Caenorhabditis elegans: one gene and its partners. The protein of the gene in region 1 interacts with the protein of each later gene in a pairwise test. Each region holds a gene or a part of one and is shown in the gene's direction. Other genes may lie near its edges. The genes, in order: F35A5.8, txbp-3 and frm-1.

Region 1 (9,133 bases):
CACTCCAAAAAAAAATAACAATTGTTCCTTTGAAACAGTTGATTTTATTAACAAAAAAAAGTTCGAACAAAACAAGCGCTTCTGGGTCTATAACAGCCTTCGCATGAGATCATAAGGGCGCCCACACGAATGCATTGAGCATCAGGCTTCTAGTTTACACCGTGCCGTCTTCACTCTTGAGAGAAAGAAATGAGGGAAAACATCGAACAACAGAAACGTTTTCTCTCCGCCATTGATTTATCTGACAACATAACGTGGAATAACAAAGAAATTCAGGTTACTTTCGAAAAATTATTCAAGTTTTGTTGTCATTAATTTCAATTATAACGATATATTTTTATGAAAGTATTTACAATAAATACACGATAAAAATTGGTTTCAAAGACAACAAGCCACACAGGAAGCACGACGAAGATGATAGAAAATAACATGAAGTACTCGGTTCCAAGTTCATTTTCCAGATGCTCTAGCTGCTGTCTCGAGTATACAATCTCCAACGTGATAACTCTGAAACAGTAGAGTATTTATTTAAGTTTAAAATTGTGAAATATTAACTACAAAAATTGTATTGTTTTTTTGAGCAAACAAATTACCAAGGAGCATAAAATCGGATAATAAGAAGTTTTGTGAAGCATTACCTGACTGTTGCGAAGTACCTGAAAACAAAAATGCCAGATCAAAAAAATATACAGTAAACTAAAAAAAAGGGTCAGAAAGAAAGGGAGGCTATTGATTAATGAGAAAATGTGAGTTGATGTGGCAGAATTGAATAAATATTCCCACACATAAATGGGATACGAACCAAAGATTGAAGGTCAACAATCAACAAATAAAAAAATTATAATACGTCACAGCTCAAAGTAAATACGAATATGAACTAACCTGAAACGGGTTCCTTTTTTTTCCTTCAGATTTATTTGTCTCCTGATAAAGGGTTATCAATTAAAAGCTACTAAAGCCACTATACTCAGCACTATATACTCAGCTACTAAAGCCACTATACTATACTGTTTTTGAAAGATATTCAATTATTTTTAATCATTATAAGTGTATGTGAACAAAATTTCAATCTCAAGAGCAACCAGAGAGGTTTTCTAAAGGTCACTCAAGCGGCAGACTTTAAATAATGCTCGAACCTCAAGAATCCCAACCTTAAAATAATACTTTTCTTGAAATTATAATAACAGTTGATTATTTATTCCACAAAACTCATATTAATACACTGGATACACACACAGGTATCAACAAAAAACATACGAAAATACGCGGGATTATATAAAAAGCGAGATATTTGTTCGTCCAGATTCCAAGTTCAGTTGCCGGATGCTTCAATGGTTGTAGCGTATTTGCTGGCTTCATCGAGACGCTTCTGGAAGTCGGCATCGGAGAACGAACGGAACACCGACATAGATTCGCAATCCGAACTGGCGAAGGTCTTGACGTCCTGAAAAAAAATCGCTTAAAAAATGATCTTTGAAAATTTTACTTACTCCAATCTGGGATCCAGCTGAATCAAAGCAATCAAATTGATAACCGGAGCAGGAGGAAGTCACATCTGAACAAAATTGATTTAGATACCTTAAACTAATATAAAAATTTACCATTATCATTGTACTCTCTGTTGTAGGCGAAGCAGAATGGTGGATTGTTGTACTTGCGGTTTTTCTTGATAACCAGAGTCAGACCCTAAAACATAGACAAGTTCCTGTAAAAGTTGCACATTTCAATAATACCTGTATCATGGAAACGGCAAGAATAAGGAAGAGAGCAAGCGAGACGGCGTTCATCGTTTTGACACAACTGGCTGAATGATGCTATCCCGACGCGTTTTCGACGACTTTCCCACACAAGCTGTTCAAACCATTTTCGTTTTTATATTTCGTGGCACATGCAAGTTAACACGTATTTGAACATCTGAAGCAACCGAGTTCGTTGGCTGCAAAAATTGACTCATTAGATCAAACATCGGCGCTTGTAAAAAATCGTGTTTACCAATTTGGGACGGAAATGGAGAATTGCTGATGGAAAAGTTTCCCAATTAGTGTTTCTAATGTTTTTTTTAGATTTCTAAGTACTGTAATCGACCGAGAAGCTAAAAACACAGCGGGTGTTATCGCTTTTCTTTATTGGTAATGAATGCAAGTTATGTAAATTCGTGTGAGAAATAAATTAAAATGCTATTTTTGGATTAGAAATTTCGACTGGAAAGTTAATAACAAAAGCAAAATTAAACAGGAATATACGGTATTATAAAATGTCCATTTTAACCTGAAATGTAAAAATTTAAGGGACACTATAAAAAAAACCGTGTTTTTTTGTGGTGTTCATAATAGGGGTTGACTGATTGGATATCTGACTAACATTTTTAAAAAATTTTACGATGAAACTATGAGGTTTAGAAAAAAAGCTTTCTAAGCGACTTCAACCTCCCGCAACGTCTTGGAATCTTACGATATTTGTTGCTACTATACTTCAAGAACAAAGATAATAATCAAAACAAAACAAAATTAGCTTACAATTAAACTCTTTTTTTTCCATTGAACATGATGTCTATTATTTGCTCTCCCAACAACACTACCAATTGCAAAATTGAATGTTTTGCAGTGTCAAATTTTAATTTTGAACAGTGGTGTGTTTTGAAATGAATAGTTTGTTGTTCCTTGTTTTATTCACGCAACACTTTCTCTTTTTGCTCGTCGTATTTTTTAATCAAAGCGACGTTATTTTTAGTCTCAAGTTTGTGTCTGTGCTCATCTTATTATTTCTTACCAATTTGAATGAATAATGCATAAAACGTTTTTTGTTGTCGTTGAGGATTTAATTTTCTTTAATAAATTTCAAAAAAGTAATGCAATCATGTTTAACAAAATTTTAAATACACATCTTTCTAAAAAGGTTATCATAATTACAGCTCACCAAGTGTATTAATGTATGTAGTATAATTTATTACGTTTCACACTTGCAAAAAACTTTTTAACACATCACCATTAGACTTTTCTCTGAAAAATATATAACAAATTCTATATCAGTAATCCATTTAGACGTCTAGTCTTATTTCCATTTCCGAATAAAATCACCATTAATCTTTCGGGTAATGTTATTTTAAAAAAACTTATATTTTTGGGCTATTTGTTTTACTAAAAAAATACTGTTATGTTTTTGCCCTACCGAAAAAAACCTTTTTTAAGACCATTTTTACACTAATTTTTCAGCAGTATTTCAAAAAGAAGAAGACAATCAAATCGGATATTCTTATTCTCCAAAACTAGACAAATGTTCGTTGTTTTTTCTCTATTTTGAAAACGAAAAGTGTGTTACTTTTCTTGTGTCTCATCCGTATGTCTTTCTTTTTGTGTACTCATTGCAATTCAGAGACAAGACCCACACATTGGGTGTGTCAATGCAGTGGCTGCTGACGCGTTTCTCGTGCGTGCGCTTCTTTTGTCTTCACTTTATTCAATTACTCACCACGAGCTCATTGTTATTGTTTATTGTGTTTAGAAAATACGATTTCCCATAAGAGTCGTTATATTTTCATTCATTATTCTTCTTCTTATTATTATTATTATTAGAAAATATATTTTAAGCTTTTTTTGTAAGTTTTTCAGAAAAATACTATTGGGTTGCTTAAAAATAACAGTTAAAATGTTTACATCCACTGCATGACTCCAAAAATCAATGTGATACTTTATCAAGCTCCTATTCAAAGCACTCAAACTCAATAATAAAAAATATGTGCACTTTTTTTAAAAATATGATTGCTCGTAACAAACTTCTCTTCAAAAGTGTAACATGCCATCATTTTACCAGAAAAAAAAAACGAAATCCAAAAAAATTGGAGGACGGATGTTGAGAAAGATGAACGACCTCTTGCGTTTTGTTGCACGCATCTTTCCCCCCATTTTCGCTTCTTTTTCAAAAATTCTCTCCTTTCCCACTTGTTCCGTCATTTTTCGTTTCCTTTCCCTTCACGACTCGCGCAGTCTCGCATCGATTTTCCGCTAGGGGCCCTCCCCTCCTCACCGCCATCTTCTTTACCAGCAGCCCCGTTTTCCAGTAATTTCGTCCGTCGTAGTCGGGGCACCCCTCACAGATCCGTTCGAACAGCTTCCATTCTTTTGTTTTTTCTCGCACTTTTGTGAATAATTTTGATAAACTTCAGATTGTTGAAAACTCAGTATGGATTTTAACTTCAAAAAGATAGCCAGTGATGCTGGAGGATTCTTTAGCAGAGCTAAGCAGGTTGGTCATTTTTTTACGAATTCCTTCGAAATCCCATACATTTAAAATTCAATTTCCAGCTCACCGAAGAAACATTCCTGAAAGCAGAGCGCACCGAACTGGACTCCCACTTTGAGAACCTTCTACAGCGAGCCGACAAGACAGAAGATCATACTCGCCGTCTCCTCTCTGCAATTGAGGGTTATTTGCAGCCAAATCCCAGTTAGTATTCACGAAAAAGATATTATGTTTTGCAAAAAGACCTGAGAAATGAACTTATCTATTGCAGCCGTTCGCATGGAAGAAGTATTCTATGAAAAATTGGAATTGAAAAAGGATGGTGCTATTCGGCAAAATAATCTCGAGCAGTTGTCAACAGCGATGACCGAAGCTGGAGAGCAGTTCGGAGAGACCACTCCATATGGTTAGTTATTTAATTTGTTTCCTCATAAGACATATAATACTCAATAATTTCAGGATCTGCACTCCTCAAAGTGGCTCAAACGGAAAACCGACTTGGGCAAGCGGAACGGGAATTGTGTGGACAAGCGGCCACAAATACTTTGCTCCCTATTAGAAGATTCTTGGAAGGCGACATGAAAACAATTCAGGTGAGAGACTCCTCTTTTCCAAGCTGCACTATTCATGAGCTCTTGCTAAAAAAATTTAGTAAATGCATTTCAAATTATTCTTGCCCTCAGGCCAGCTGCGCCATAAATATATTTCCGCTTTCAATAAAAATATCTAATTCAGAAAGAAAGAAAAGTGCTGAACAGCAAGCGTCTCGATTTGGATGCATGTAAAAGCCGACTCAAGAAAGCAAAAACTGTAGATCTTCAGACAGTGGTGAGTGATTTTTTTCTTAATTTGTGAAAAATTAATTTTCTAAAAATAAAAATCTAAAAAAGAAAGTAACTGTTTCAGACGAATAGTAAAACCTCTGGAGGGTTTACAATTGAGCAGGTTTGTTTCAGAAATGTTGTAACACTGTTGGTTTTCATTATTGTCTGGTTATTCCTCCCGTTTCTATGTACTTTATAAACTTTTAGTTACATATCTAAACATTATATTTTGAAACTTTTGAAACGTTTCACAAGTTTCAGGCAGAGGCGGACGTGCGTGTTGCTCAAGCAGAGTTTGACAAGCAATCAGAGATTACCAAATTGTTGCTAGAAGGAATTCAAACCGCACACGTTAGTTTTTTAAATGGGATTTTTCCAATTTAAAATGTATAAAAATTTTCAGAACAATCAGTTGAAGTGTCTTCGTGATTTTGTCGAGGCACAAATGTCTTTCTATGCTCAGTCTCATCAACTCATGGCCGATTTGCAGCGGGAATTGAGCGGGTAAGTCTCTCTTTCAAAATTAGGCTCATTAGTTTTCATGTCGCATGCGTCTCCCGCTAGCAATTCATTTGGTAGCCACTGCTTTTTTTATTTCGTTGTAGTGAATGTACGTGTCATGCAAATATTTCAGTTCTCTCGCCGATTCACCGATGTACTACGGAAACCGACACGACGAGTGACTCCCGAACTTTGATTTTATGTTTGCCACTCGTGATTGTGATCTTGACTCCCTATTTATTTCAAATTTAATCGATTTTGATTATATATTATTTTTTCTCTCTCCTCTTTCTCTTTCTTTTTACTTAACATTACTTCCTTCTGAGTAATCCAGTGTCATTCAAATTCGCCAAGAAATTCAATATTAGCTCAAGTTTTCGATATTCTTAAATTTTCAATGTATTCTGTATGTATTATATTGTAATGTATTTCATATTTTAACAGCTCCCGGTCATTTCCACCAATCGATAAGCATAATTAGTATGTTTAATTTTTTTCTTCTTACTCTCAATTCTCCCCCCAACCGCCGTTGATCGGCTTCTTCTAGTCACAGTTGCTGTGTGAATGTCTTAGTATGTGTGACACAACGACGAAACGCGATTTGAACTCAAATAAATGTTTCTCTATTCTGCCAAACTTTTTTCATTGTCCCCAGATTTAAGGAAATTGCTTTCAGCACCATGTCATTTCGCGGAAGCTCGGCAATACTGGTGAACAATAGTGGCGACCCGCCAAACGGAAGGACTATGGCGGCGGCAATAGCGGCGGCCAAGGTTAGTTGGGGAAGAACTTCGTGGAAAGCGTTGTTTCCGTTCCAGTGATTTTCAATTATTTCCCATCACGAACATCTCTTCAAATTACTGATTTTCCAGCCAAGTGGCCTACTGCCGGATGACTTGGGAACCAAGCAAGCCAAAGTGATCATGGACTACGATGCAGTGCTGCCACAAGAGATCAGCGTCACCCAGAATGATGTGAGTCTTGAGAGGAGGACCCCTATTGAAACCAAATATTGTGTGAAATTACGTCTGCTCTTGTTGCAGATTCTCATCGTGTATCGCCTTCCTGGAATGGATGCGGAATATGTGATGGCTGAAAAAGGAGGAAAACGCGGAAAATTGCCTGTCAGCTATATTGAGCTGCTCTAGAAACGCTGCATTCATTAATTTATTGTCTTAGTACTTTGTTCATGTGCCAAAAATGTTTTAGTAAGGTGTCTTATTTATTGTGGAAGATCTCAATTGAAATGTGTCTATTTATTTGACTCCTCAAATGCGCTTATTATTGTATAGGTTATTTAGATTTAAAATAAATGGGAAATTTAAAGATCAAAAATTCGTTAACAATATTGAACACAATATAAAAAGTTTAGTTTTGAAGAAAACTCTCAAATCTCTTCTACGATTGCTGTTTTAGATAATGATAGAACCAACCCTTTGTGAAAATCTTCTGGTTTTCAAACTTCAAATAGAGTTTCCTAAAAGAAAATTGCATTTTTCTCAAATCTTTTTCAGTGATTTTGTTGTAATTTAGACGAAAATTGGTAATTTGAACATCATAGAAATGATTCTTAATCATTTTTTCATTTATATCTTCATTGCATATACTCATTGTGTAAAAGGAAATAATATAAAACTACTTTATGTAATGGCAATAATATTACCGAAATGTACAAATAGTTTGCGTGAAGTCGAAAAAGAAAGACATGGTCAGAAATGAGTTCGTTTAGGCGATCGATCGCTTTGCCTTGCGGTTGGTGTATCTGTATCTAAGACAGCAGGTCTGCTCGGCGCACTTGACGTATCCGCGTTGGCATACGCATTGGTTAGCATCGCAGGAAGTAGTAGCTGACGAATGTTGGGATTGTTGGTTGGTGTACGAAGCGGTGCACGATGACTGGCAAGCTGGCTGGCAAGCTGGGACGCACTGATTGATTGGTTGCGCTTGTTGAACTTGGACTTGGAAGGTTGGCTGAGCTTGTTGGGCGCAATCACAGGATGGCTGGAAGTTTAGATATCCATAGTTAATTTACTGGTCAAAAAGCAATAGTCTTTACCTGAGCCTGTTGGCAAGCGCATGGGTTTTGCTGAACAACTGGGGCACAATCACAAGCTGGCTGAGCTTGTTGGCAGCACGGGTTCTGTTGAACTGGGGCACAGTCGCAAGTTGACTGTAATTCACAAACTTAATGGAAAACTCTGGAGTGTGATTTACCTGAGCCTGTTGTTGGCAGCATGGGTTCTGCTGGACTGGAGCACAATCACAGGCTGGTTGCTGTTGGACTGGGGCACAGTCGCAGGCTGGCTGAAATTACCGGACTAAAAAAAATTGTTCAAAATGCCATACCTGAGCTTGTTGGCAGCATGGGTTCTGTTGAACTGGAGCGCAATCGCAAGATGGTTGCTGTTGGACTGGAGCGCAATCACAGGCTGGCTGAAACTTCAAAAGTTCATCCAACATTTACCAAATATATTGTACCTGAGCTTGTTGGCAACATGGGTTCTGCTGAACTGGAGCACAATCGCAAGCTGGCTGTTGAGCTTGTTGCTGACGGATCTCGATTTGGATGCAGGTCACACATGATGGGTTTTGTTGGCAGTCACAAGCTGGTTGTTGAGCAACTGGAGCACAATCACAGGCTGGTTGTTGTTGTGGCTGCAAAGATGGGTTACTTTTATTCGTCGCTCTTACATTAACAGCCTACCTGGCAGTCACAGGCTGGTTGCTGTTGAACTGGAGCGCAATCGCAGGATGGTTGCTGTTGCTGGCAGGCGCATGGATCTTGTTGAACTGGAGCACAGTTACAAGCCGGCTGCTGCTGTTGTGGCTGGCAAGCACATGGATCTTGCTGAACTGGAGCACAGTTGCACGCAGGCTGCTGCTGCTGTGGCTGGCAAGCACATGGGTCTTGAGCTGGAGCTTGTTGGACCTGAGTGTACTGAACCTGGACATTGATGGTGGATTGTTGGCAGCACGATGGTTGCTGCTGAACTGGGGCGCATGAGCAAGCCTGACGCTTTTCTCTAAGAGTTGGTGCCGAAAGTGCCTGAAAATGGCGGGGAATTTATAAATAAAATGGAATGAAAAAAAAAAGAAATCTCACCAGGGCGACAATAGCAAAAATTGAAAATGCAGAGCGGAACATTGCTGCTTTTGTTAGAGAGTATTCGAAGCCAAGCTACTACTGACAACTCAACTTTTGCTCCTCATATTTATACGCGCCCGCCGGGAGGAGTCATGGCAAGAGGGTAAGACCGGCATGCGCAAGAACAGGCGACAAAAAAGAACGAAGGCAGTTTCAATTGTGCATCAAACACAGATGAGTAGTTATGATCGGATTAGAGCACCTGTGGGAATATGGTAAGGAGGGGGAAAAAAGTTTAGTCAGAGAAAATGAAAACCGTGTGCTGAAAAAATGCGTGCACACAAATAAACATTGTTTGTTTTTGGCTTCTTGCGCACATGAAATTTTGCCGAAGACGCATACTATCCAAAGTGATGTTAGCTATAATATATTTCAGTCTAGTCTTCTAACCAGTTTAAAAACACTTCAATTGTGTCAAGAGAGA
Region 2 (6,812 bases), on another chromosome or scaffold:
TTTACGAGAATGAAAGACCAACGAGTAATTACAGGTTGACGTTGATCCATCAATATCAGTTGGAACTGAACATCTTGAAATGTATCATTTGAAACAAGTACCACTTCAAACTATCAAAAAATCAAAGTTAATACTCAATGCACTTCAACCATTGTCTATATTAGAAGATCGTGATGATATTCATTTCACGCCGGAACTTGTATTTTCAAATACAATTCGATCGCTTGTTCATGCTCAGGAAATGGAAGGAAAACGAAATGAAAGTAAATCAGATGATGAGGGAAAGTCCGATAAGAGTTTGTCATTTGTCATTGAGAAGCAGGAAGAGTTTATTTATTCAGTAATAAGATTTACTGATTTGATATCTAATTATTTTCAATCATTCAGAGAGCAAATCCAATCGAGACGGCTAGAATGGCTCGTAGGAATCGTAGAAGTAAAGGATCGTCGTCGAAGAAGTGAAACTGAAGTCTTACTTTTCTTAAGTGAATATTTATTCGGAGGCAAGATAAAAGAATAAATGGTCAAATCACAGATTTTTTGTTGTTGAAACACAAAACAATTGAAAGCTATTTTGGAATGAAGTGAAGTGAACAACCCAAAGTTATACGACTAAAATTCTATTGACTGAAATTGAAACTATTTTTTTTAGATTTTTTAAAATCCGATAATTCGCATGATTTTTTTAAGTGAAGAAAGACTGAGAACAATATCTTAATGGGAATTTTAGACAAAAAAAATCAATTTTTCGCTTGCTCGTCTTCTTGTTTCTTCTTTTCTCTATCTGCTTTCCACGAGGATCCGTCCAATTTTATAGTTTCTAACCAATCATCACAAATTAATTGTTCATTTGGATCTTTAACCATTCCAGTCAATGCCATCAGAGCTTCTCCGTCTTTTACATCAAATCCTTCGCCCAAAAATGCATCGATTCGAGCACGAATTGCCACGAATTCCCCATTTTTCTTGAACTCTGAGAATCGTCCAGATTTGTCGTTTAGGATGAATCCATCTCCATATTTTTTGATGAATCTCGGGAAAAATATCTCTCCGGGCTCTTTTCCTGCTTTCGATGTGCTTCCTGTTTCAGTATTTGTTTCCAAATCGTAGAATACAAGTCGTTGTCTGAAAAAAAAAACAAAATGTTTTTATTTCGAATACAGATTCCGAAAAAACTATTAACACTTGTTAAAAATTACAAAAACTCACTTTGAGAACATATTCATTGGAAAATCGTTGATTGAAGCCACCAAAGTCTTGTCATCAAGTGCACAAATTCGTGAAAAAGCTTCTCCAGGCTTTGATTCAGCAACAACATCCCAACCGATTGGAGTGTCCAAGTGTGTTCTGAAATTATAGATGTAAAAATAAAATATAAAAAGTTGCTTGAAGGAAACATTTTTAATTTAAAGAAGGAGTATCGTCAAAGGGGAAATTGTTTTAAAATGTAGTATTTGTACTCAAACTTCCAATTATTGCAGAAGAAAAACGGAAAAATCCGTTAACATTCAGCATTTAGCCGTTGAAATCGACGAAAGTGGCTGAAAGTGGCTGAATTTGAATTTCGCGCGCAAATGAAAAGCAACCACGCAACTTTTAGGTCATATTCGTAAACAAAATATTGATTTAAATGTAATTTTTTCGAACTTTAATTCGCTTTTCTTTCTCAAAAAGTTCAAGAAAACTGGGAAGAAGAAATTGTATTGAGTATTTTTTCAAAGGACAATACCAGAACAAATAAAAATTCGAAAGATCGTCGTGGCCTAGGATTTCTCTAGTTAATTTTTGAAGATTTTTTCGACTTAAAATGCTGAATCTAAACGGATTTTTCCCGTTTTTGTTTTGTAATATTCTTAAGTTTGAGCACGAATACTACATTTTAAAACAATTTTCCCATTGACGATACTCCTTCTTTAAATGATTTATTTTAATTCTTACGTCATGATAAAATTGTTTCGATGTCCTGGTTCAGCTTGCTTCACAATATACATATCGCCACTATCAGTGATTGTCATGGAATTTACTAAAAAAAAATATATTTTAAAAAATGTTTTATACCAGAAAAACTTACATAATCCTTCGATAAACGACTCATGAACAACATCTCCATCAAGTGAAATTACTCTTAAAATTGTCGTTCGATCAGAGAATTCAGCTGATGTGTAGATTATCTGTAAATTTGAATAATTAATAACTTAAGTGAAAATAATTTATTGTACCCTGTCTTTGTACGAAATTACTTGTGGAAATGGGGCCATTTTCTTGAAGAATTTCTTGTCTTCGTGCAGAGTTCGGAGAGTTTTTCCGTTGAATTTATATAAACCGCCTTTTGAAGCTACCTGAAAAATGAATAATTTTTAATTGTTGTTGTTTAATTATAATATACCCATATATTGTTGTCTTGGTCGTAAACAACGTTATAAGGAACTCTTGCCCCTCTTGGCTCCAAATGAAGAAGCATTTCATCAAATCGTTGATAATCACTGGTGTCTGACGGTTCTTGGGTCATTTTTATGCTGAAAATTGAAAATTTATTAGATAATTTATCATTATATTTAGCAAAAGAAATGAGAGTCAACGATTAACTAAAAATTTAAGAGTTTTGCGCAAGAGAAGTGTCTAAAAATCAATAAAAAATTTCACCATACCCAGCTCGCTGCGAGACCTCAATCAATAATTTGAATGCACTCCTTTAAAACCACAGTAATCGGCGAAGTGAATTTGAATATTATTAGATTGAACAACATTTTCAAAGTGAATTCACATTTAAAATAAAGTGAAAATAAAGAAGATTTTGGAGTTAAACATGGTTTAAAAGTGGGAAAAATGTTTTAATTTGAACAAAAATGGTTTTTGAAAATAAATCGATTTCTCAAACATATATTGTGGAAATTGGAAAATCTACAGTACCTAGCATTAAAAAACTTCTTTTCCGCTACTGATTTTAGATTTTTAGATATTCTTTTTTCTTGACTATATTGTTTTACATTGAAATAATTCATTATTAATTATTATAATATCTTTAAAAATATGCCTGCAAATAGAAACATGCAAGACTGCAAGATTTGGAAACGTTAAATAAAAAATTGAGGGAAAAAGATTATTCAATACAAGTAAAACCAACTTTCCATGGCCGCAAAAAGCGATGTTTGGTCTTATTTTTTCAATTTCTCTTCCACGGCCACCAATTCAATTATTCTCTTATCGGCAACACTTGTACAAGGTCGCCATCTCAATGACAATCCGAACGGAATTGAGTAAAAATGTATGCAAATTCGGCCATGAGAGTAGGAAGATGAGATAGTGTAAGAAAAATGGAGACCAGAGGGGGTTGAAGACAATGAGTCACACCTCATGTTGTATGTGTGCGTTTCATCTTTGTCCGTGTTCCGACACATTTAAACATTAGTTTTTGAACAAAAAACCTCATTTTCTTTTCAATTTCACTTTTAAATACTTTCCAATTTTCAGATCAAAAAAAAATAATACAATGACAGCATATGGTCATATGCCAGGAGAAGCAATTGAATGTTTGTCAATTGCTGTTGAATTGCACAAACAAGAAGTTATTGATGCTCATGGACAAGTCACAATTCGAGTTGGATTTAAAATTGGTGGAGGAATTGATCAAGATCCAACAAAAGCGCCATTCAAATATCCGGATTCTGGAGTTTATATCACAAACGTCGAATCAGGATCGCCGGCGGATGTGGCTGGATTGAGAAAGCATGATAAGATTCTGCAGGTAATTATGAAATTTTTAAGTTTTCTTTTCCCAGAGACAAATGATCAAACTTTCTTGCCAACATATACATTGTTAATTAAGAGTACTGTAAACTTACTGCCGAATTTTCATCGATCTTGCATAGTTTTTCTCATGAGTTTTTGGAAATTTTTGTGTTGTTATATTTCAAATAAATAAATATACTTTCATCAAAAAACCATGCAAAATCGATGAAAATTCAGCAGAAATGAGAATTTGAAATTACAGTACTCTTCTTAGGCAATATTTTCTCATTCAACATAAATTTGCGTGAATTAAACTGAAGTGAATTAAACATTTGGCCAATTAAAAAATTTTTGGTAGACAAACTCAAGAACGTTCGAACATTAGCTTAACATAAGTTTCCAAAAAATTGAAAACTCCTCAAAATTTTTCTAGATGATATTGAGAACATCCTCTAACAAACGGACACCCCAACTAAATAATATTCTCTATTTTCAGGTCAATGGAGCAGATTTCACAATGATGACTCATGATCGAGCTGTGAAGTTTATCAAACAATCAAAAGTACTTCATATGCTTGTTGCAAGAGCCGATCTTCCTCCTGTCAGTCTTCATTAACTCAATCTCATTTGTTCCGTTCACATTCAAACTTGCCCTTTTCAATTATCTCTCAAACTCAATTCTGCGCATATATTTTGATATTTATCGGGTTCAAAAATAAAAAATTTTACTTTTTTGACGACACAATGCATCATTTGACAAGAAAAATTGGTCATTCGTGTTTGGAAAAATGAACTGAAAATTTCATAATTGCCTGTAAATTTTTATCATACAAAAATGAATTATTTCAATGTAAAAAATAAAGTAAAACAAAAGAAATTATAAATCTGAAATCTGTCGCAATAAATTTGTTAAATTAAAACATTTTTTCCACTTTTAAACTAGTTGGGATATTAAAATCTTTGTTGCTTTCACTTTATTTGAATTGTGTATACACTCTGAAAATGTTTTTAAATCTAAATAATGAATTTCAAATTTACTACAAGGATTACTGTAGTTTAAAAGGAACACACGTGATTTCACTTGATGGATTCTTGGAACAAATTCAATTGTGTAAACACAGAAAAAGTGATGTACTAACAAAATGTAGTATTATATGCAAATGAAACTTGTAGTACATACTAAAGTCTTCTCGAATCATCTCGAAAATAATAAAATAGTATTTTTTAAAACTTTTAAAAACTAGAAACATTCAATTTTTATCAGAACTCTGAAATTCAAAATTAATATTATCTTCATCATCGGATGAATCCATAGTTTTCCCTTCTTCTTCATATAATTTCAGCAAAGTTCTCTCTTTTTGTTTTCTTTCTTCCGTCACTTTTTCTAATTTTTCCATTAATTTCGTCATTTGAACTCTGCAAAATCTCGGTTTTTTCTGTTCCTAAAACTTTGAAAAACTAACTCTTCTCTCCTCGAAAAATTGCGATTTTCGTCAATTTCTTCCTGTTTTTCTGCAATCAATCGGTCCATTTCTACAATTTCATTTTGAAAGTCTTTGACTCTTGACTCGAAATTGGAATATCTAAAAAATACTCAATTATTACTTTTCCACCGAAAATACCAACTCAATTATTCTTGTTTTTCGAAAAAAAAAACTAACTTTCCAATAAAATTTTGAATTGTCTCCGCATGGCTTCGCACGTTTTCAGATTTTTCCAGCGCCTCCTCTAGTTGAGCTTGTTTCTCCGCAATTCGAGCATCTACTTCGGATAGGTAAAAATCAATTGCATTTTGGGATGAAGCCATTTTGATGTATACTGGATGTGAATGTGCTCATGGAGGAGATTTCTGGGTGCGCTCAATTGGAAAATCCCATGTTTGCTGGCCAGTTCCTGAAATTTTCTAGTACAACTACGAATTGCAGGGTGAAATGAAAATCTTTCCTTGTAAGAGTTTTTACAATCGTTTCATGTACTTTCCAACAGGAATATTAATTTAGAAGAAAAATTTTATAATAACTGAAAGTGGAGGTTGTAAAGTTAATCAAAGTGGAATAATGTACTGCGCAATTTAGAATTCTCGAGTGTGTTTGAAGACAATGAACATTTCATGTTCTTAACTCAAGTTTTTCACTAAAATCAAAATTTGACCGAGATATGCTTGCAAAGTTGATCAATAGATACTATACAGTATGTCGGAAGCATTGCTTCAAACAATCATCCAAAACACTCAAACTGAGTCCATTTTTATTGAGTCGTTCAAAATTCATGATTCAAAAAATTAAAAATGAAAGGAAATCGAGAAGAAGATGTCAGAGTTGTTGATCAGGAAAAAAACAAAAATAGGTAGAGATTGTGAGATTCAGAGACAGAAGTTGAAACATACACACACAGAGAAAAGAACAGATAATGCTACTGTCATTGTATTTTTAGAAAAATAATATTTGAGTTATTTCCCGGCCCATGCGTAAAACTGCTTCCTTTTTTCCATTGATGGTCCAGCTTCTTGGGCAATTGAGTCTTCAAAATAGTGAACTGGTGCCGATGATCGTTTTCCGGCCCATGCGTAAAATCTGGAAAAAATTAAATTAAAAGCTGGAAATTCGCTCGTTCAATTTGTGACTCTGTGAGTTGATGGCGGTCCCCCATCCCGATCACGGTTACCTTCTGATTTTTTTAGCAACAAAGGCGACTAAAGGGAGTACAGGGAAAATATGGGGCGCCCGTTGTTCGCCCCCATCGAGCGCCACTGTCCGTTATTCCCCCTCCATTTTATGGCCCTGGGACAATAATCATAAAAACTCTAATAAAAAAACTATACAACAATGTTTTTAACTTATTTCTGCAAGCTACCATCCTCAAATGTTTATCCAAAAGCTCCAGTCAAAAAATAGATATATACATAAGTCAACGTTACTTTCATTTGTGCACCTCTCTGTGCTCAATTTCTTTGTTCGTTTGCTTGATGCGACAAATTGGATCTATTTTTCATTTGGAATTAGTTTTTTTTTGAAAAACACTACAGTAACTCCCAACTTTCGCCAATTTTTGATCGTTGGTTTTAAGTGGTTTTCCAGGGTCGG
Region 3 (8,111 bases), on another chromosome or scaffold:
AAAAATTACAGTATAAAAAATGTAAAAAAAAACAATTGGTTTTAAGCACCTCCAAAATTTTGAGTGGCAAAACTGAGCAATTCACACTTTTTGACACAAAATAAAAAATTTTCAAAAAATTTTGAAAAGTTTTGTTGTGATATTTGGTCATTTTGACTACATAGGAATACTTTTAAGCATTTTCCCCACTGGAACTACTCCACCTTAAGATTTTTTTTGTTAAGATTTTTGATGAATATCTAATACGTTTTTTAAATGTTTCCTTTTAAGATATTTGGATAACATAACATTTTATGCAGTGACATCTCGTCGACCTTAAGAATGCAACAATTTTCGCCCACTTTTTTGCCCCTCATCAGCATCTTCAATTCATTCCGCATCAGTACTCTCTATTGCAGCTTCCGGCCTCTACTGCCGTTGACGGTGTTGTTTTTGTTTGCACCCTCTCGCTTCTCGCTTCCATCGTACATACACATAAATACATACACTTTCCCTTTCATTTTCCCACCCATTTTTCCCCATTTTCCATGATACGCTGCGAATCATTTTTTCGATTCGTTTTTTGTCGAAATATTTGGTTAGCATTTAGTACTGATTTCCAGAAATTGTTCCATTTTTCATTATTTTGCTGAAATTCCTGAATGATTCATCCGTGTTTTTTCTTGATGTTTCAAATAGAAAACAATCATCAAACCCCCCATTAAAATCCATCCATTTGCACCGCCTATCTCCTCCTCCTATCACACACAGTTTTCATTTTATTCTATCATTCCGCAACCATTCGTGTTGGTTTCCATTCTGATTCCTTCTTTAACTAAACAGGATATTCTCTGAAATTCGAGAATTGTCCCCTGATTCATTTTGGCAAGAATCTCCACAATGGAGAGTACGGAAACCTTAGGAAGCGGTGAGTAGTTTATGTAAATATGCATCTTAGAAATTGATGGGTGGTCTAGAACTAGTTTGTGACTGGTTCTTGGGAAAAACGGGAACGGAGTAGACTAACTTTTCACGCCTTTTTAGTGAAACTTGAGAAGACATCTAGGCAAACAGTGGTAAGTCCCGGCCTGGCGCGGTTCTGATAGTGAGTCCACATTTCTGATAACATTTACTTATCGCAGTAAAACTTATATCCGACACTAATTAGAGTACACGTGGAACGTTGTAAGTGGTGTTTCAATGACATGAAGCTGTCTGAGTTAATATCAATATACACTTGAAATACTTTAGTTGTGCTTGACTTTGGTCTCTCCCTAGTCGAGAATTTTCGCAACTAGTCAAAAATGAAATCGTCTATCGCAACATGTATAGTTGATAAATATTAACACAAATAACCAAAGATTAAGTTTCGAATGTTGTGACTCATGCTTTCTCCTTTATTTTCCTCTCCACTACTGAATTTCTACACATTTTTCGAACAAAAAAGAACGTTCACTAATCCTTTTGGCCTTCTCTTCCTGCATCTCTCTTTCTCCCTTACTCCACTATTCTCTCGTTTCGTCGCTAGCAAAAATTACCCTCAAACTCCGCCCAAATATTGGAAACTACCAGTCATTCTGTCCGCTTTTTTCCATCATTGTCACTGTTTTCCGTGTGTGTCGTTGAGCGCTGGTGCCCTTGGTCGATAGATTGGATGAATGAAGGAGTGAGGGCGCCAACAAATGTCTGCGCATCTGGAAGGTCTTGCACTATTTCTCAATTTTTATGCTCTTTGTGAGGGACGGACATACGGTGACCAAGGGCATAGTGTCAGAACCAAGAGGAACCATCTGTTTGGAGATGTTTTGAAATTTTGTTTTGGCAATGCTGGGCATTTTTCACTTCTGGTAACGGTTTTGCATTGGGTAGTTTGAAGTTCGGAGCAGTGGTTGGTGGCAATTACAACTGGGCCGTTCAAATTTTCGATAATTCGATAATTTCCTCAATTTTTGAGATTTGGCAGTTGTTATCTATTGCCAAATATTTTTAATTTCCAAAGGTCAAACAAGGAGGGGCGATGTTGACTGTCTCTAAAGCTAGTCATAACTAGGTCTGTGAAACAGCGGAAGGAAACTTTCCAAAAAATTAATTGCCTCCAATAATTCTCTCATCGGCAACATTGTCAATCTACAAGCTGGTTCAACAATAAAAACTGTTTGTTCTCTCTCTTCTTTGCTATTGCGAAAAATTGTCTCATTGCAACACCTCTCTCGCCTTCATCTTTTCTGCCTCCGAATTCCCACTACTGTGATTGACTGAGATGAAAAGAATAGAATGAAACAGTGTAATAAACTAAACGTTTTTGTTTTTTTTTTCTGCTGTTTTGTGGCCAACACAACGCCTGTTGGTTTCGTCTTCTTCATCCTGATGGCGGTGGCGAGAATAAGAGAGGAGAGCAACAAATAGCACAGAAATAGCAACAGTTGTGTGTGCACCTCTGCTATCAATTGAAGCTCTCCGTAAGCATTATTTTTTGCTGTTTTGATATATTGGAATTCTTTTGAAACTATGTGAACAATTTTTTATTGTGATATTTGCCAATAATGTGTATTTTGGGTCTTGTAGCGACCAACATGACTGACAATGAGAAAATTACTCTATCGAAAACTTCTAATTAAAAATACTAATCGTGATTTCACTTTATCAAGTTCACAAGCTTTTTAGAAACGTGTAATAAACGCCTCAAGAATGTATTCGGTTGGGTCTCGCCACGATAAAAAATTGTGGTAGCAATTTTCTATTTATTCGGGATTTCGTGAGCAATTTTTGTAATCATCACTTTAATTTTTTCTCGATGTTTTCCTATTTTTTCCTGAACTAAAAAATACGAATTACTTATTGAAAAGCTAACGAAAATCAAGGAAAATCGTTAAAAACTAATAAATTCCTGAAAAAAATAAAAATTTCCACCATAAACGTTTTCGTCGCGGCGAGACCCACTCGAACATAACTATGCGCCTTTAAGTTTACTGTAGACAAATTTTGTCCGTTTTTTCGATGTTTTCCTCTATTTTTTTCTATTTTCCTACCATTTATTGTATTTTAATTAAAAAGTAATTAAAAAGCTAAAAAATTAACTTATTCCCTGCAAACTTTCGACACGAAATCTTCATTTCTCAAAAATTAGTGTTATTCGCGCTGCGAATCCACATTTTCCACTTTTTCACGTTCTCTGGCATTTATAAATTTGTTTTTGTTTTTCAGAAGATAAAAACGTAAAAATTCACGTTATAAATTCCCATTAAAATCGTCAAAGCCAAAATTTTGAATTCGTATTTATTTCTAGTAAAAAAAAAGTATTCTTCAACTTTGAATGTAAATTTAGTTAACTCTTCCACTGTTTTTCTCCAATACTCTTTCTTTTTTCATTTCCACCTTCAAATGATCCTAATATTTCATGTTTTCTCACCACAATCTGCGGGTACCGGAGAAAAGGTGTAATTTTTCTTTATTGTCCTTCTCTACTATGCCTCCCAGAATTTATTGCGTTTTTTATGCCGGGCATTGGCTACTTTTTCTCCCAACAACACCAATTCATCCCTTCTGTCTTTTTTTTTCGCAGAAAAACAGAACAAAATGTGGCATTTCGAATAGAGCGCGTTTGCATTACTCCCCCCCCTCCTCCCTGTCGGCCGGGCAATTCAAATTTTAACACTTTCTTTTGCTCTATAAACTTTTAAAACTTCTATTTTCAATGAAAGTTGCAGTTTTTTTTCTAATTTTTATTAATTTCCTCCACATTTCAGAGCAAATGGGTACCGATAGAGATCCCGGAGACCAGAAACACCCAACGACTAGCCAGCAGCCACGAGATTCGAAAATGCAGTTGGCAAAAGTTCTTCTTCCCGACGGAGTTCAAAAGGAGTTTGAGGTTAATGTAAGTTTTTGAAGAATTTCACCGGAAAAACTGCTAAATTCTAAATTTTTACAGAAAAACTCGGAAGGAGAAGCACTTTTCCGACAAGTGACACGAGATCTATCGATTGAGGAACGCGAATACTTCTCGCTGTGCTTCTACGACAAAGATGAGGGAACACGACATTGGCTATATAATGATAAGAATATTGCGAAACAGATTAAAGGTAAAAATGAGAAAAAAAAGAAAATTTTGGTTAAAAATGTGGATTTTCTTCACAAAAAGCTAATTTCCCCCGCTTTTTCAAAAAAAAAAAACTGCCTTGAAATTTTTGGAAAGCTGTTTCAAGTAAATAAAAATATTTCTCTTATTCGGAAAAGAAATTGAATCGATTTCATGTCCAAAGTTGTATTAATTTTCCTTTTTTTTTGTAAATTCCCTGATGAATTACAAGAATCTAGGAATATTATCCTTAAAAATATAATAAAAAACTCTAACCCGCGGCCACGTGTCGATTTACGCAGCTCGTGTATTCCTCGAAGAAAAATAGTTTTTCTACATTTTTCGCAAAGTTTTCTCAAATCTTCTGTGTATTTCAAAGAAAATCGAAAAATCTGATAATTTTAATTTTGAAATCGAGTCTTTTTTAAAAGTTTACTGATTTTTTATAGAGCGAAAGCGGAAAATATTGAAAGTTGGAATTTTTGTTTCAAAAAAAAAAATTAGTCTGAAAAACATCGAAATCTCGAACAATTTTCAACCAAAAACTGCGTAAATCAACACATGGCCGTGTAAGAGGTTTCCCGCGGCCACCTATTTCATTTTCTTTTTTAAATCAATTTTTCAACCAACTGTCAAATTTTGCAGGTCTTCCTTGGGAATTCTCGTTCGAGGTCAAATTCTACCCGACCACACCTACAACGATCGTCGACGATCACGCTCGCTACTACGTCTTCCTTCAACTCAGACGTGATCTCCTCACCGGACGTCTTCCAGCTACTGCCGACACACATTCTCTTCTCGGATCGTTTGTCGCTCAAATCGAGTTCGGTGATGCTCCAGCAGAGATGACGGATGCCTACGAGCAGTTCATTGTGGCGTCCAAGCTGGTGCCATCAGCACAAGCGAATCCGGAAACATACAAGAAGATTGTCGATTTGCACAGAGAGATGCGCGGACAGACGCCTTCTGAAGCTGAAAATCAATTTTTGGATCACTGCAAGCACCTGGCTCTCTACGGAATCCACCTTTTCAAGGCAATCTCCGTATGTTTTTCGACAAAAAAAGGTTCCTGCTCGAGTACTCCACTAGGAAAATATTTTTTCTTAAATTAACATCTAAACTTCTATCATTTTCTTCTTTTAGTGCTCATTCTTCAAGTCCTTAATTTTGAAGAAATATTTTTAGTGGTTTATGAAAAAAATAGTAGTATTTACTTTTGTCTAAAATAATTAATTTGTTAAGTATTCTCTTTCAATTTATCAGCTTGGTGATTTTTAAGCTAATTTTGAAATTTCCGCCAATTTCTTGAGGGTGATCAAATTTTATTCACTGAAAAGTGTTTGGCAAATTGAAAAACGGTGTTTTAACTTAAAAATAAAAAGAAAATCAGGAAAACTGGTAAATTTAGCCAGTCAACGCATTGGATGTTTGAATCGAATTATTATTAAATTTGAATGAAAATTTGTCATATTCGGTCATTAGGGTTTTCTGTCACTTAAAGCACAAAATGTTTTGACTCTGTTCCACCTGTAAAGGAGTAAAAACTATTCGAAAATGCCCAAATTAGCTTTGTTTTTATAATTATAAAATATCTTTCAGGATAAGGACAAGAAGCCTGTGGACGTTGGAATCGGTGCCGCCGGAATAAACATTTACCAAGACGAGCAAAAGACGCATTCCTTCAGCTGGCAGAATATTATCAAAATCGGATATCGTCGTACTTACTTCTCGATAAAGCTCAAGGCAGGGACTGTCGAGAAGAATGAGAAGACATTGTACTTCAAGTTGCCAAACCATGTCGCCGCAAAGAGGACTTGGAAGTGTGCAGTCGAACATCACACTTTCTTTAGGTAATTTTTGAGAATAACTTATCTCAAAAACTGAATTTCTAAAAGAGAAGTTTAAAAAATACGTGAAGATTGCCTAAAATTATCTAAAAATTTCGGATTTTTCATCTTGCAGGAGTCGAAAAATAATTTTTGTTCTAATTTTCGAATTCCTGCTCGATGGATCAATTTTTTTTCAACTGTTTAACTGAAATTGATTTTTGTTTTGTTGAATTGTCGAACATGCTTTTCCAAAATTACGATTAAATAATTATCTCTGTCGTTTAAATTTAATTTCGACGGGTCTGAAAAAATTATTTCTTAAAATTAAATAAAATCTTTAATTTCAGACTGATCCAACCTGAAGACAAGACACATAAATCATTCTTCAACTTTGGCTCCCAGCGGTTCCGCTATCAAGGACGCACTCAATTCCAGACAAAGATTGCCTCGCAGATGTTTGATAAACCATCGACAGTGGACAGAGCGCCATCTGCAATGTCTCAACCAATAGCAAGTGAGTTTTTGATTACAATAGTTGAAATACATTATTAATGAATTTACAGCAGCCGAGAATCAGAAACTTCAAACACTCAATCTCACGGATTCGGAATTGGAGCAGCGCCAATTTGAGGTTAGTTTAATTGGTTTCCAGTGTGCTTTTCTATGTTTTTGTTCTAATATTATTTTGCATGAAACGCTTTTTAGAGCGCTTTTTTGTGTTTTCTATCGCTCACATCACAATAACTGCTTTTCAAATTTTGGAGAAAAACCACCGAAAACCCCTCAAGCACAAACACAAAATTCACATGTTTCTTCTTTCTACTCAAAAATTTTCAAACTTTTCCGCTAAAACGTCAACTTTTTTCTTCATAGTTCTTCCCCTTATTCTTCTAAAGAACTGTACAATTTTCAATATATAGCAATGTCCCCTCTTCTATTTCTGCGTGAACTTTTCTCTCATTTTGTTGTAATTCTGAAAATTCGAGAGTTTTCAGTTTTAAATATATGCATACCTATACAGTTTCCAGCTAAATGACACTACCACAGTTCATTATGATTGTAACGGCGTGGAGAGGGGGTTAAGATAGCTCCCCTCGTTCAATTATGTGCCCGATGGTGTTTTCTCTCCAAAATTCAATTGTTTCTTTCTCTATCTCTAACCCCTCTCTCTCTCCGCACTCCCGTTAGAGAGTTTCCTGCTAATCGCCATCGTCATCGTCATAAGGTCTTCTGGAGACCTCGTTGTAGTAACATAGTATCGGAGAAGTCAACATCATCGTCATCGTGTGTGTATATTTGCTCTCTTCTGTTTTGAGGCTATTCGGACATCCAGGTTCTTCCTGTCTTGATCGTCTAGCTTTTTTGTAGTTTGTAGTTTAGTTGTGCACCACAAAACCTCGGTTTAGTTTGCGTCTGGTAGTGGCTATTTGTGTGTATCGATCTCTGACCTTCCTATATTTTCAGAGATACCGACGCGCTTTGACACCGAAGTCCTACACATCATCGAGACAAGACGATGACGCGGTATCAACTGCCACATTTGCCAAGTATTCTAGGCCTTCGACTCTTCTTGTTGTTTCCACTTCTGGTCATCACCAGCAAAGTCCTCACGAGTTGTCGTATTCACCACGCGGCGATGATTCCTCTAACTACTCGTCGGCAGCCTACTATATGTCTGAAAGATCGTCGTTGAGAACTCCGTCATCCGCCTATTATCCTCCATCCGAATATACGAGTCCAACTAGTCCTGTTTATTTTGAAGGACAACATCATGGCGAGTATCATGTTCAGATGAGGCAAACAGCTTCAACTTCAGCTACTGGACCATCGAACTCGGGTGCCCGCAGAAATCTGTTTGGTCGGGCGTCGGACGCAAGAAGTTCTCAAGCGTCTAGGGATAGTGTTCGTCTAGTTTCTTTCCATGAACCTGTAGACCCAAATGAGCCGATTCCAAATACTTATCCGTACAGTGAGCTCCCGCAGATTCCGATTGAAAGAATTGTGCATGTTTATCACGAAGGCCACTATGATCGACTGAGTCCTCGACGCCAACAACGTCCAGAACTGCCTTACGGTTTCGGAAACTATACCCCTCGAAATGGAGTTAGTCATGTTGACAACTTGCAGCCTGATGGAGAAATGGATCAACAACCGATTAGATTCTATGTCGATGTTAGACATTCTGGAGCTAGTCGGCGGAATCTTGCAAAGCGATTGAGTCATCC

What was found.
Region 2: the proteins of F35A5.8 (region 1) and txbp-3 interact in a two-hybrid assay, tested with the Caenorhabditis elegans proteins (one large-scale study listed by BioGRID).
Region 3: the proteins of F35A5.8 (region 1) and frm-1 interact in a two-hybrid assay, tested with the Caenorhabditis elegans proteins (one large-scale study listed by BioGRID).

What each region holds. Positions count from the first base shown.
Region 1 is NC_003284.9:3,797,799-3,806,931, reverse strand, and holds F35A5.8 (SH3 domain-containing GRB2-like protein B1), read left to right. Parts: upstream 1-3,467; 5' UTR 3,468-3,595; intron 3,596-4,040; exon of another isoform or gene 4,041-4,152; intron 4,153-4,160; exon of another isoform or gene 4,161-4,162; 5' UTR 4,163-4,179; coding exon 4,180-4,242; intron 4,243-4,301; coding exon 4,302-4,443; intron 4,444-4,510; coding exon 4,511-4,645; intron 4,646-4,698; coding exon 4,699-4,832; intron 4,833-4,974; coding exon 4,975-5,067; intron 5,068-5,145; coding exon 5,146-5,184; intron 5,185-5,324; coding exon 5,325-5,414; intron 5,415-5,466; coding exon 5,467-5,567; intron 5,568-5,697; coding exon of another isoform or gene 5,698-5,746; exon of another isoform or gene 5,747-6,200; intron 6,201-6,240; coding exon 6,241-6,337; intron 6,338-6,436; coding exon 6,437-6,538; intron 6,539-6,607; coding exon 6,608-6,712; 3' UTR 6,713-6,887; downstream 6,888-9,133. Other genes in the region: F35A5.2 (uncharacterized protein), read right to left, coding at 1,313-1,444, 1,491-1,555, 1,602-1,686, 1,734-1,787; abu-10 (Activated in Blocked Unfolded protein response), read right to left, coding at 7,290-7,565, 7,621-7,734, 7,779-7,868, 7,911-7,997, 8,043-8,219, 8,269-8,610, 8,668-8,709.
Region 2 is NC_003281.10:5,043,821-5,050,632, reverse strand, and holds txbp-3 (Tax1-binding protein 3 homolog), read left to right. Parts: upstream 1-3,471; 5' UTR 3,472-3,490; coding exon 3,491-3,745; intron 3,746-4,225; coding exon 4,226-4,345; 3' UTR 4,346-4,457; downstream 4,458-6,812. Other genes in the region: C45G9.15 (DUF851 domain-containing protein), read left to right, coding at 35-340, 388-462; vtip-1 (Vha Twelve Interacting Protein), read right to left, coding at 741-1,125, 1,210-1,347, 1,939-2,023, 2,072-2,171, 2,220-2,339, 2,387-2,509; C45G9.14 (uncharacterized protein), read right to left, coding at 4,980-5,145, 5,193-5,312, 5,391-5,536; nlp-43 (Neuropeptide-Like Protein), read right to left, coding at 6,179-6,302. UniProt on the Caenorhabditis elegans protein: May regulate a number of protein-protein interactions by competing for PDZ domain binding sites.
Region 3 is NC_003279.8:14,892,982-14,901,092, reverse strand, and holds the start of frm-1 (Moesin/ezrin/radixin homolog 1), read left to right. Parts: upstream 1-3,730; coding exon 3,731-3,856; intron 3,857-3,910; coding exon 3,911-4,061; intron 4,062-4,308; exon of another isoform or gene 4,309-4,530; intron 4,531-4,702; coding exon 4,703-5,100; intron 5,101-5,656; coding exon 5,657-5,907; intron 5,908-6,233; coding exon 6,234-6,400; intron 6,401-6,449; coding exon 6,450-6,517; intron 6,518-7,158; exon of another isoform or gene 7,159-7,263; intron 7,264-7,350; coding exon 7,351-8,111.